2 linked regions of the Coturnix japonica genome follow. The protein of the gene in region 1 purifies or fractionates together with the protein of each later gene. This does not show direct contact. Links are inferred from orthologs where the notes say so. Each region holds a gene or a part of one and is shown in the gene's direction. Other genes may lie near its edges.

Region 1 (3,512 bases):
TGGGTCTTGTGTGTGACTGTGTGCACTGTTAGCTGCACCCAACCCACAGCAGTGCTGGGCAGAGCTGCTTTGTTCAGTGAGCAGAGCTGGGGCTGTGCTCCATGGCACATTGCCCATGGGTCCAGGTCCCTGGCTTTGTACTGCCTGGCTCCCTTCTCTCCAGCACAGCATCTTTGCACAGAGGGAGTTGAGGTTCCATGCAGCGCTGAGGAGTGGGAGGCTGGTTCTTCTGGCATTAGGTTGTTCCCACTGATGCAAAGCAAATTAGCAAGCTGTTAATGAGCTCCCAGGACAGGCTGCAGGGGGGTGCCTGTGGGGATGGAGGGTCGCCCGCTTGGTGTTGGAGCTCTGGGCTCTTGTTTGTGTCCCTTCATCTCTTTGCAGCTTGTCTTGCTAAGTTCATCTTTAAGTGGCTTGCCGGCTTGTTATGTTTGGAGCTGTTTGTTTTGAAGGCAGGAAGGTGATTTAACAACTCAAACGCTTTCACATTATAGAAAGAAAATGAGGAAATATTACTCTTGGCTTCGACATCTCCCAGCAGAACCCCACCCAAAGTGAAGTGCACGGTGCTCACGGCTACTGCTGGGTCAGCTGTGTCCTCCCTGTTCCTGCAGACACGTGTGGGGCTTCGTTTTGAATCTGAGCCTTTGTTATGCTGAGCCCAAACCTCAGTGTGACAGAGCCAGCGGGTCTTTGCTGCTTCCCCCTGGGATGGGACTGCTGGGAAATGCTGTCTCGTCCCACCTGCATGCTATGGTGTGATGCTCCCAGCTCTGTGCACATGGCACTGCTGTGGTTCCTCATGCTGCTGGCTGACAGGAGCTCCCTGACCCCTTGTGCTGGGCTCAGCACTTTGCAGACCCCGGGTGGGAGATGTTGAACCCCCCCCCACACACCCCAGCCCTACTTCTCATGCTCTGCTGAGGGCAGGGAGGTGCAGCCAAACCCTTGTGTTGTGCAGGATTTCATTTCCATAGCAGTAGCCATGGATACAGACTGTTTGTGCAAATAACCAGTATTCCCACCCACACCAATCGCTGACCACTGTGGATGCCAGAGAGCCTGGGCCTCGGTGGTGCTGGTAGTGCTTGGCTCTACCTGCTGCTGGGAGTTTGCTTTCCCAGATGGTCTGCAGGCCTTTGCTAAATGAAAACAAAACAACCTTGGTAAAGTAGGTGGAGTTCTTTAAGTAGTGTCCAAACACTCGGACTTGCCTGTGCTTTTCTGACTGTGGTAGAGGCAGCTGGATCCATCAGCATGGCTGAGGTTGCACTTAAACATAGTGCTACCTCACTATGTTGACTGCTTGAGCTTCCAGTTTGGTCTCTCTGAAGACCTGTTGGTGCTTCACTAGAGCTGTAGGGAAGTGGCAGAGCACAAACACAGTGCTTAAACAGCTCACATCTGGCCTGAGAGCAGCTGGTGTGCTGCAAGACTCTGGTCCTGGCAGTGTTGGGTGTGTGGGTGACTCCAGTGCTTCCCTGGGCAGCCTGTCCCAGTGCAGCCAGTTCCTCAAACTTTTACTGTCTGTGTAAATCAGCCTCGTGTCTTTCCCTTGTTCTGAGTTAGTGTGGACACCTTCCAATGTGCCTGTCAGAACTCACTCTTTGTTTTTTTTTTGCTCCATTTTGGTAAGGTGAGAGGATCCTGGGCTACGCGGAGGAGCCTTGCTACCTCTGGTTCGTCATGGAGTTCTGTGAAGGGGGGGACCTCAACCAGTACGTGCTGTCACGACGACCTGACCCTGCGACCAACAGAAGCTTCATGCTGCAGCTCACCAGCGCCATCGCCTTCCTGCACAAGAACCACATCGTCCATCGGGACCTGAAGCCAGACAACATCTTGATCACCGAGAAGTCGGGCACCCCAGTTCTCAAGGTGGCTGACTTTGGGCTCAGCAAAGTCTGTGCTGGTCTGACGGCTCGAGGAAAAAAGGGTGGCCATGAGAACAGAAATGTGAATGTGAACAAGTACTGGCTGTCTTCGGCTTGTGGCTCTGACTTCTATATGGCCCCCGAGGTCTGGGAGGGGCACTACACTGCCAAGGCTGACATCTTCGCCCTCGGTATCATCATCTGGGCCATGATTGAGAGGCTCACCTTCATTGATGCTGAGACCAAGAGGGAGCTGCTGGGGACCTACATCAAGCAAGGGTCTGAGATTGTGCCTGTTGGGGAAGCGCTGCTAGAAAACCCAAAGATGGAGCTGCACATCCCTCAGAGGCGCAGGACTTCCATGTCTGAGGGGATCAAGCAGCTCCTGAAAGACATGTTGGCTGCTAACCCGCAGGATCGACCTGATGCCTTTGAGCTCGAAACCAGAATGGACCAGGTTACATGTGCTGCTTAAATTCAGGGCAGGGCACTGCTGTGCTTTGCAGCTGGGTAAGTGATCGGTGGTTTTTATATTATTCTGTCTGCTGTCCAGCCTGTTAATGCACTTTGTAGTGACACAATGGAGTCCTTTATGTTCCCAGAGCTATTTCTATAGTGACTCATCAGAACTCTGTTTGAGTGGTGTTTTTTTCCCCACCTATTCTATTGCAGCAATACAGTAGAGGTGAAGAGCAGATGAGCAGCCGCATGTCCTGGTGCTGCCCAAAGCCCAGACACGGCTCTGCTCTGTGGACCTGGGCTGGGGAGGCACATTGAACATCCTGACATCAGCTTTGGGTGTGTTGGTCCCTTCCAGAGGCAGGGAAGGAGCTGCCTTTTCTTCTGTCTCCTCCACGTGCTGTGATTTCAGCAAAGCTATGAGAGTTCCTATCTCTCAAACATGGTGCTCCTTCCCCACTGGTATTAGGGAAGGGCAGCTTGGGTCATGGCTGGCCTGCTGGGAAGGCACTGAGCTGAGCGGCAGGTGGGTTCTGGCACAGACAAGGCTGTTTTCCTTGCTTTCACTTGCAAAGCATGTGCATCCATCTCGTTTCATTTCCTTGCTGAAGGCAGGACTTCAGTGCCAAGCACAGTTGCATAAACCAGTGGGGTGCTTTGGTGTTTAACATCTGAGCTGAGACCTGAGTCTGCTCAGGAAGGAAGCTTACAGAACATCTGTGCTCAGATGGAGCTCGGTTCGTGCAGAGTCCCTCCCTTCTTCCCCAGGCTCAGGGCCTAAATAGTCCTGAACTTGGCTTCTGCTGCATCCTGGTCCTTAGTGGAGGTCGGGAAGGACACCCACAGAAGTGGGATAGAGCTGGCTGTGTCACTCAGCAGTGACATCAAGGGAATGAGCAGTAGTGATCATTGGTAAAGCTGTCTGTAAACAAGAGCTGTTACTATGGGGCTCTCCTGGCCAAACACTTCAATGAAACTGAAAAATGACAGATTACAGGGTGAGGCAGATATCTTTCCAGTCCTGGTATTTCACAGGCTGCTTCAGAGCTGGACAGTGCTGCTTCCTGGTCCTTACTCACCAGAAACCCAACAGATCCTTCTGGATCAAAGTGAACCGCAGATACAAGAGGGCAATGAAAGCCAGAACTGCTGCTTTTACTGGCAAACACCCAGCTGTCA
Region 2 (4,262 bases), on another chromosome or scaffold:
GAGCTAAAAATATCCTTTCCATGGCAGGAAAAGACCAGTCCGTGCTCTTGCTGGATGCTTGGTGTGTTTGATAGATCTCTCATTCAACAGTTCGCAGCCGTTAACGTTTACAGGCAACATTATTTTTGGCTGCTGTCCCTTGCATGTCACTAATGTTTAACCAAATGAACTCGGAGGATTATAACAGACAGAGACACTGGTGGAAGTGACAGGCACAGAGACAAGTGCTGCAAGAAGCTAATTTACACATCGAATTTCACAGCCCGAGCCTCCCATCCTGCTCAATAAGCTCATCAGCTGCTGCTTCATACCCGCCAGCCAGCTCTCATAAAAACGAGGGAGCTCAGAAAATCGCCTTGTTGGTTTTTTTTCCCTCTTTCTCCTGCCTGCTTAGACAACAGATTCTAACAAAACCCACTTTTTAATACGGTTGAGACCAAGCCCTCTTTTATGTGGAAATGTGAGTTTAATGTAAATAGTTTGAGCCGCTCTGCTTGGCTTTCAGGGCTTGTTGGCTGCCGGTGGTCTCTGTGCAGACTTTCAAGGCACTCAGGAGTCACTGAGCTGCTGAAACATGGGCAGGTCTCTTAGGGGGCTCTTGCTGCCTTTCCTGCAGTGAGAAGAATCTAGGAGCCTCGCAAAGAAGCTCGACAGGTTGATGGTTGGGCTTGACAACCTCAGAAGTCTTTCCAACCCTTATGATGCTGGTTCTAAGCCCTGCTGTTCTGGCTTTGTCTGTGCAAGGTGTGCATCCCCTGGATGTGTCCGAGGCCACCTTGCTGAGTCTGCCACCTCGGTGTTATAGAAACCATCCATTAACATCTCCAAACGGCTTTTTATTTTCTTGCTATTTTCAGTTCACAGAGGAAATCGAGACGGCATCCAAGCTTTCCAGCAGCAAAAATGCCTCTCTGCAGCCAGCTCCAGTCTCTCCTGTTTACGAGGCAGTATAAGTTCTCACTGTATAATAAAAACAATCATCTGTATTCCTTGGCTGCGAGCAACAACACTGAGAGCGGAGCAAGTTTCGGTGCTTTGGAGGAGAATATGAATCATCTCAGCCATAGAACAAAGCACAGAAGACCCCTGAGCGCTGAGCAGGCCTGTTTTCCAACCTGGAGCTGAGAAAGAAAACATCTGAGCTGGATATCCTCAGAGGAATATTGCTGCTGAATCTCTGAGGCTCAAATTGTTGCTTTTTCCAGGCCAGGATGTGCAATGGCAATGTTATCTGCTGGCTATCTGCACCATTCCTTCCCTGAGGGCTGTGGGGAAGGGATAACGACTTCCCAATGCACATCTTAGAAGCAAAGCTTTCAAAAAGAAGGCGCTGGGAAGCAAAAGACCCGAAGTGTTTATCACATACACAGCCTACATACACATTTATTTTATTTTATTTCCACTGAAGGCGGTTTAACACCGCGATGGGCCTAGCACCCCAAGGCATCTCTCCGCCCCTCCTGTGGTGAAGGGCGGCCCGCAGCGCCGGGCTCGGACCTGGCCGGGACGCTGCTCCTCCCCAAGATGGCGGCGGGCGGGAAGGGCCGAGCCGGGGCGGGTAGCGGAAAAGGAGACGGGGGGAGCCGGCAGGTGAGGGCCGAGCCGGGCTGATACCATGGACCGGAGGGAACATGGGGTGACTGGGGAGGGAACGGGCTGTGGAGGCTGTGCTGTGCCGTTGTGGTGGCAGGGGGCAGGCCTGGAGCGATGGGGAAGCGGCCAGCGGTGATGTCCTCCGCCTGGCACCCATCGTGGGGGTGCTCTATTTGGGCCTTTCTTTTCCTCCTAAATGCTCTTTTATTTATTTTATCTTTTATTATTTATGGGGAAATAATCTTTTCCCATAGTGGCTGTGCTTGGTGCTACAGCTCAGGAGGTTTCTCGCATGGAGTTTCATGCCACACGAGCTGGTTGCTGCTGTGTTCGGGTGCTTTTGAACTTCATGTGCTTCTCTTTGTTTTTCTAACAGGCTTCTTCACACAAAGCAGTTGGCAGACGGCCCTCCAAGAGGCTAAAATGTGAAAGAAACAGTCGGGTGAAGTCAGGACTGGAAGGCTGTATGTGTGAGAGTGAGAACCCTCCTGCATCTAAAACACCTGCTGAGGGCTCACCATCAAAAGGTACAGATCACCACGAAATTCAGCTGGAAAAAAGTGAAAGAATTCCAGAGACCGGTGGAGAAAAACAGGAGAAGGAAGGTGATGTTTCTTCAAAGCCACATGCGGCAAAAGCAAGTAGTGCACCTTCAAAAACAGAAAGCAATGAGGATCTGCAAGATCGTGCCTGCAGGGAGGAGAACAGCTGTGAGAGCTTGATTTTGGAAGGGAACTGCTTGAAGGATGGAGACGTCCCTAAGAAACTAACAGAACTAGATAACAGTGCTTTCTTGGATGAAGACAGTAACCAGCCGATGCCACTGGATCGGTTCTTTGGAAACATTGACTTTATGCAGGTAAAGGTTGAGTCTGCCTTTAATATTATATACATTTGGACACCTGATGCCTTCATCTTTTATCCATTTAATGAATGTTGTGTTTAGTGGGAGCAGTGAGGATTCACTTGTGGAGGACTTTATCTCCTCTGCATCCTTTTTGACTGCAGAGAGAACAACAGCCCTCACTTGGACCATGAGCTGGTTCAGACAGGCTCCCCTCTGCACTCTGTAAAGGTTTATTCAGATGTGTGTGTGTTAATGCCTCATGTATGAGACTGGGGAAGAATGGGAACTGCTGGAGATGGGGGAGGTTTGCCATCTGCAGCAACTTCACTTCATCATTTCATCTTTTTCTTCAAGGATGAGCTAGCAGCTGTTCTCCCGAGCACAACAATGAGCAGGCGGGAATACAGAAGGCTGCATTTCATCGCCAAGGAAGATGAGGAGGAGGACGACGAGGATGTTCTCTAGCAGCAAACTGTAAAACACAGGAAACTTTTCCTTGTCTTCCTACCAGAGCGATGGTGGTAGGCTGTATCACTGGCATGACGTGTCAGTATTTGCATTTTCTTAGAGAATGGCTAGAGTCTGTTTCTAGAGTTGGCAGATACAGTATTCCCCCTCAGTTTTCTGGGGCAGAGTTTGACTGAATTCCATCTTCCACCACGTCAGCTGTAAGCATTGCCCTTTTAATAGCTCTATAATGCAGATTGTTCAGTGTTTTCAACTGACTTCCAAAGGTTGTGAATAGAAGTTTCACAAATACATTGGCAGTGAAAAAGGCAGAACAGAATCTCTCAGTAGGACTTTAACTGGTAGACAAACAAGTAGTGGTGGCCAAGTAGATATGGGTCAGTCCTTCAAATCTGTTCCTTCTGGCCTGCATTTTTACATGAGCAACCTCACGAACTGCTAACTCATGCAGTGTTGGTGATAGTACTTTGAAAGTGTGATTCTGCAAGAAGCTCCCAGATATTTATTATTATAAACACAGAAGAAAGTATTTCTAAAAATACAGAGAAAATATAATCAGCAGATGGTTTAAATCAATATTAATTTCTACAGCTACAGTATGTTGAACATTCAAAAATCTGAAGCCAAACAAATTGTATATGCATGACATGTTAATTTATTCAAATTCCCACTCCAGTTGATGTATTGTTTCTGTCAGTGCCAGTTCTTGGCTCCTTTTTACTCTTAAGTTTGTAACACTGCAAAAAAAAACCTTCCTATTTTGGTGTATACGTGGTTTTCATCACAACTCCATCTAAAAGCAGTTCTCCCAGCTCTCCCTTAATTCCTTATTAGCTGACTTTTTTTTTTCCTAGGCAGTCTCTTTACACACACTCAGTGTAAAATGGTGTTAGTAGGAAATGTGCCATGCTGACAGCACAATGCTTGTTGTCACATCTTTATTGCAGTCCCTTCCCCAATACCAAAACACCAGAATGTGCATTTTCACTTCTCTTACTGTTGATGTATATTCAGTGAGATGATCAGGATCAATCCAATGGTGCTGAAACTCCATACTAAAAATGCATTTGCTTATTTTCACGTTGAAATGTTTGGGAAAGGAATTGAATTTACTGCTTTAATTAGCACTGTCTGTAGCAAAGCTCCTGCATTTCCAAGCCCTAGCAAGTCAGGACTCACACAGCAATACTGTCTTAATAATAATCTTGTCTGAACTAGATGAATTGATCTGATAAGAAAGAGAACCAGTGATAGGAAGAAACTGGGGAGAAAAATGCAAAACAAAACCAAAACCAGCAACCAAAGTAAACACCCAGAACTTTCCTAGAGGTAAATGATGATGATGTCTGCTAAC

Evidence for each region. The genes of interacting proteins can lie anywhere in the genome.
Region 2: the proteins of STK35 (region 1) and C21H1orf174 purify together in Homo sapiens (affinity purification with mass spectrometry; 3 studies listed by BioGRID and IntAct, counting the BioPlex papers as one, with this or other methods). This does not show direct contact. The link is inferred for Coturnix japonica from reciprocal best matches to the Homo sapiens genes STK35 and C1orf174.

The regions. Positions count from the first base shown.
Region 1 is NC_029535.1:9,253,749-9,257,260, forward strand, and holds part of STK35 (serine/threonine-protein kinase 35), read left to right. Parts: intron 1-1,636; coding exon 1,637-2,349; 3' UTR 2,350-2,384; intron 2,385-3,512.
Region 2 is NC_029536.1:765,431-769,692, forward strand, and holds C21H1orf174 (UPF0688 protein C1orf174 homolog), read left to right. Parts: upstream 1-1,456; 5' UTR 1,457-1,524; coding exon 1,525-1,590; intron 1,591-1,969; coding exon 1,970-2,452; intron 2,453-2,794; coding exon 2,795-2,905; 3' UTR 2,906-3,895; downstream 3,896-4,262.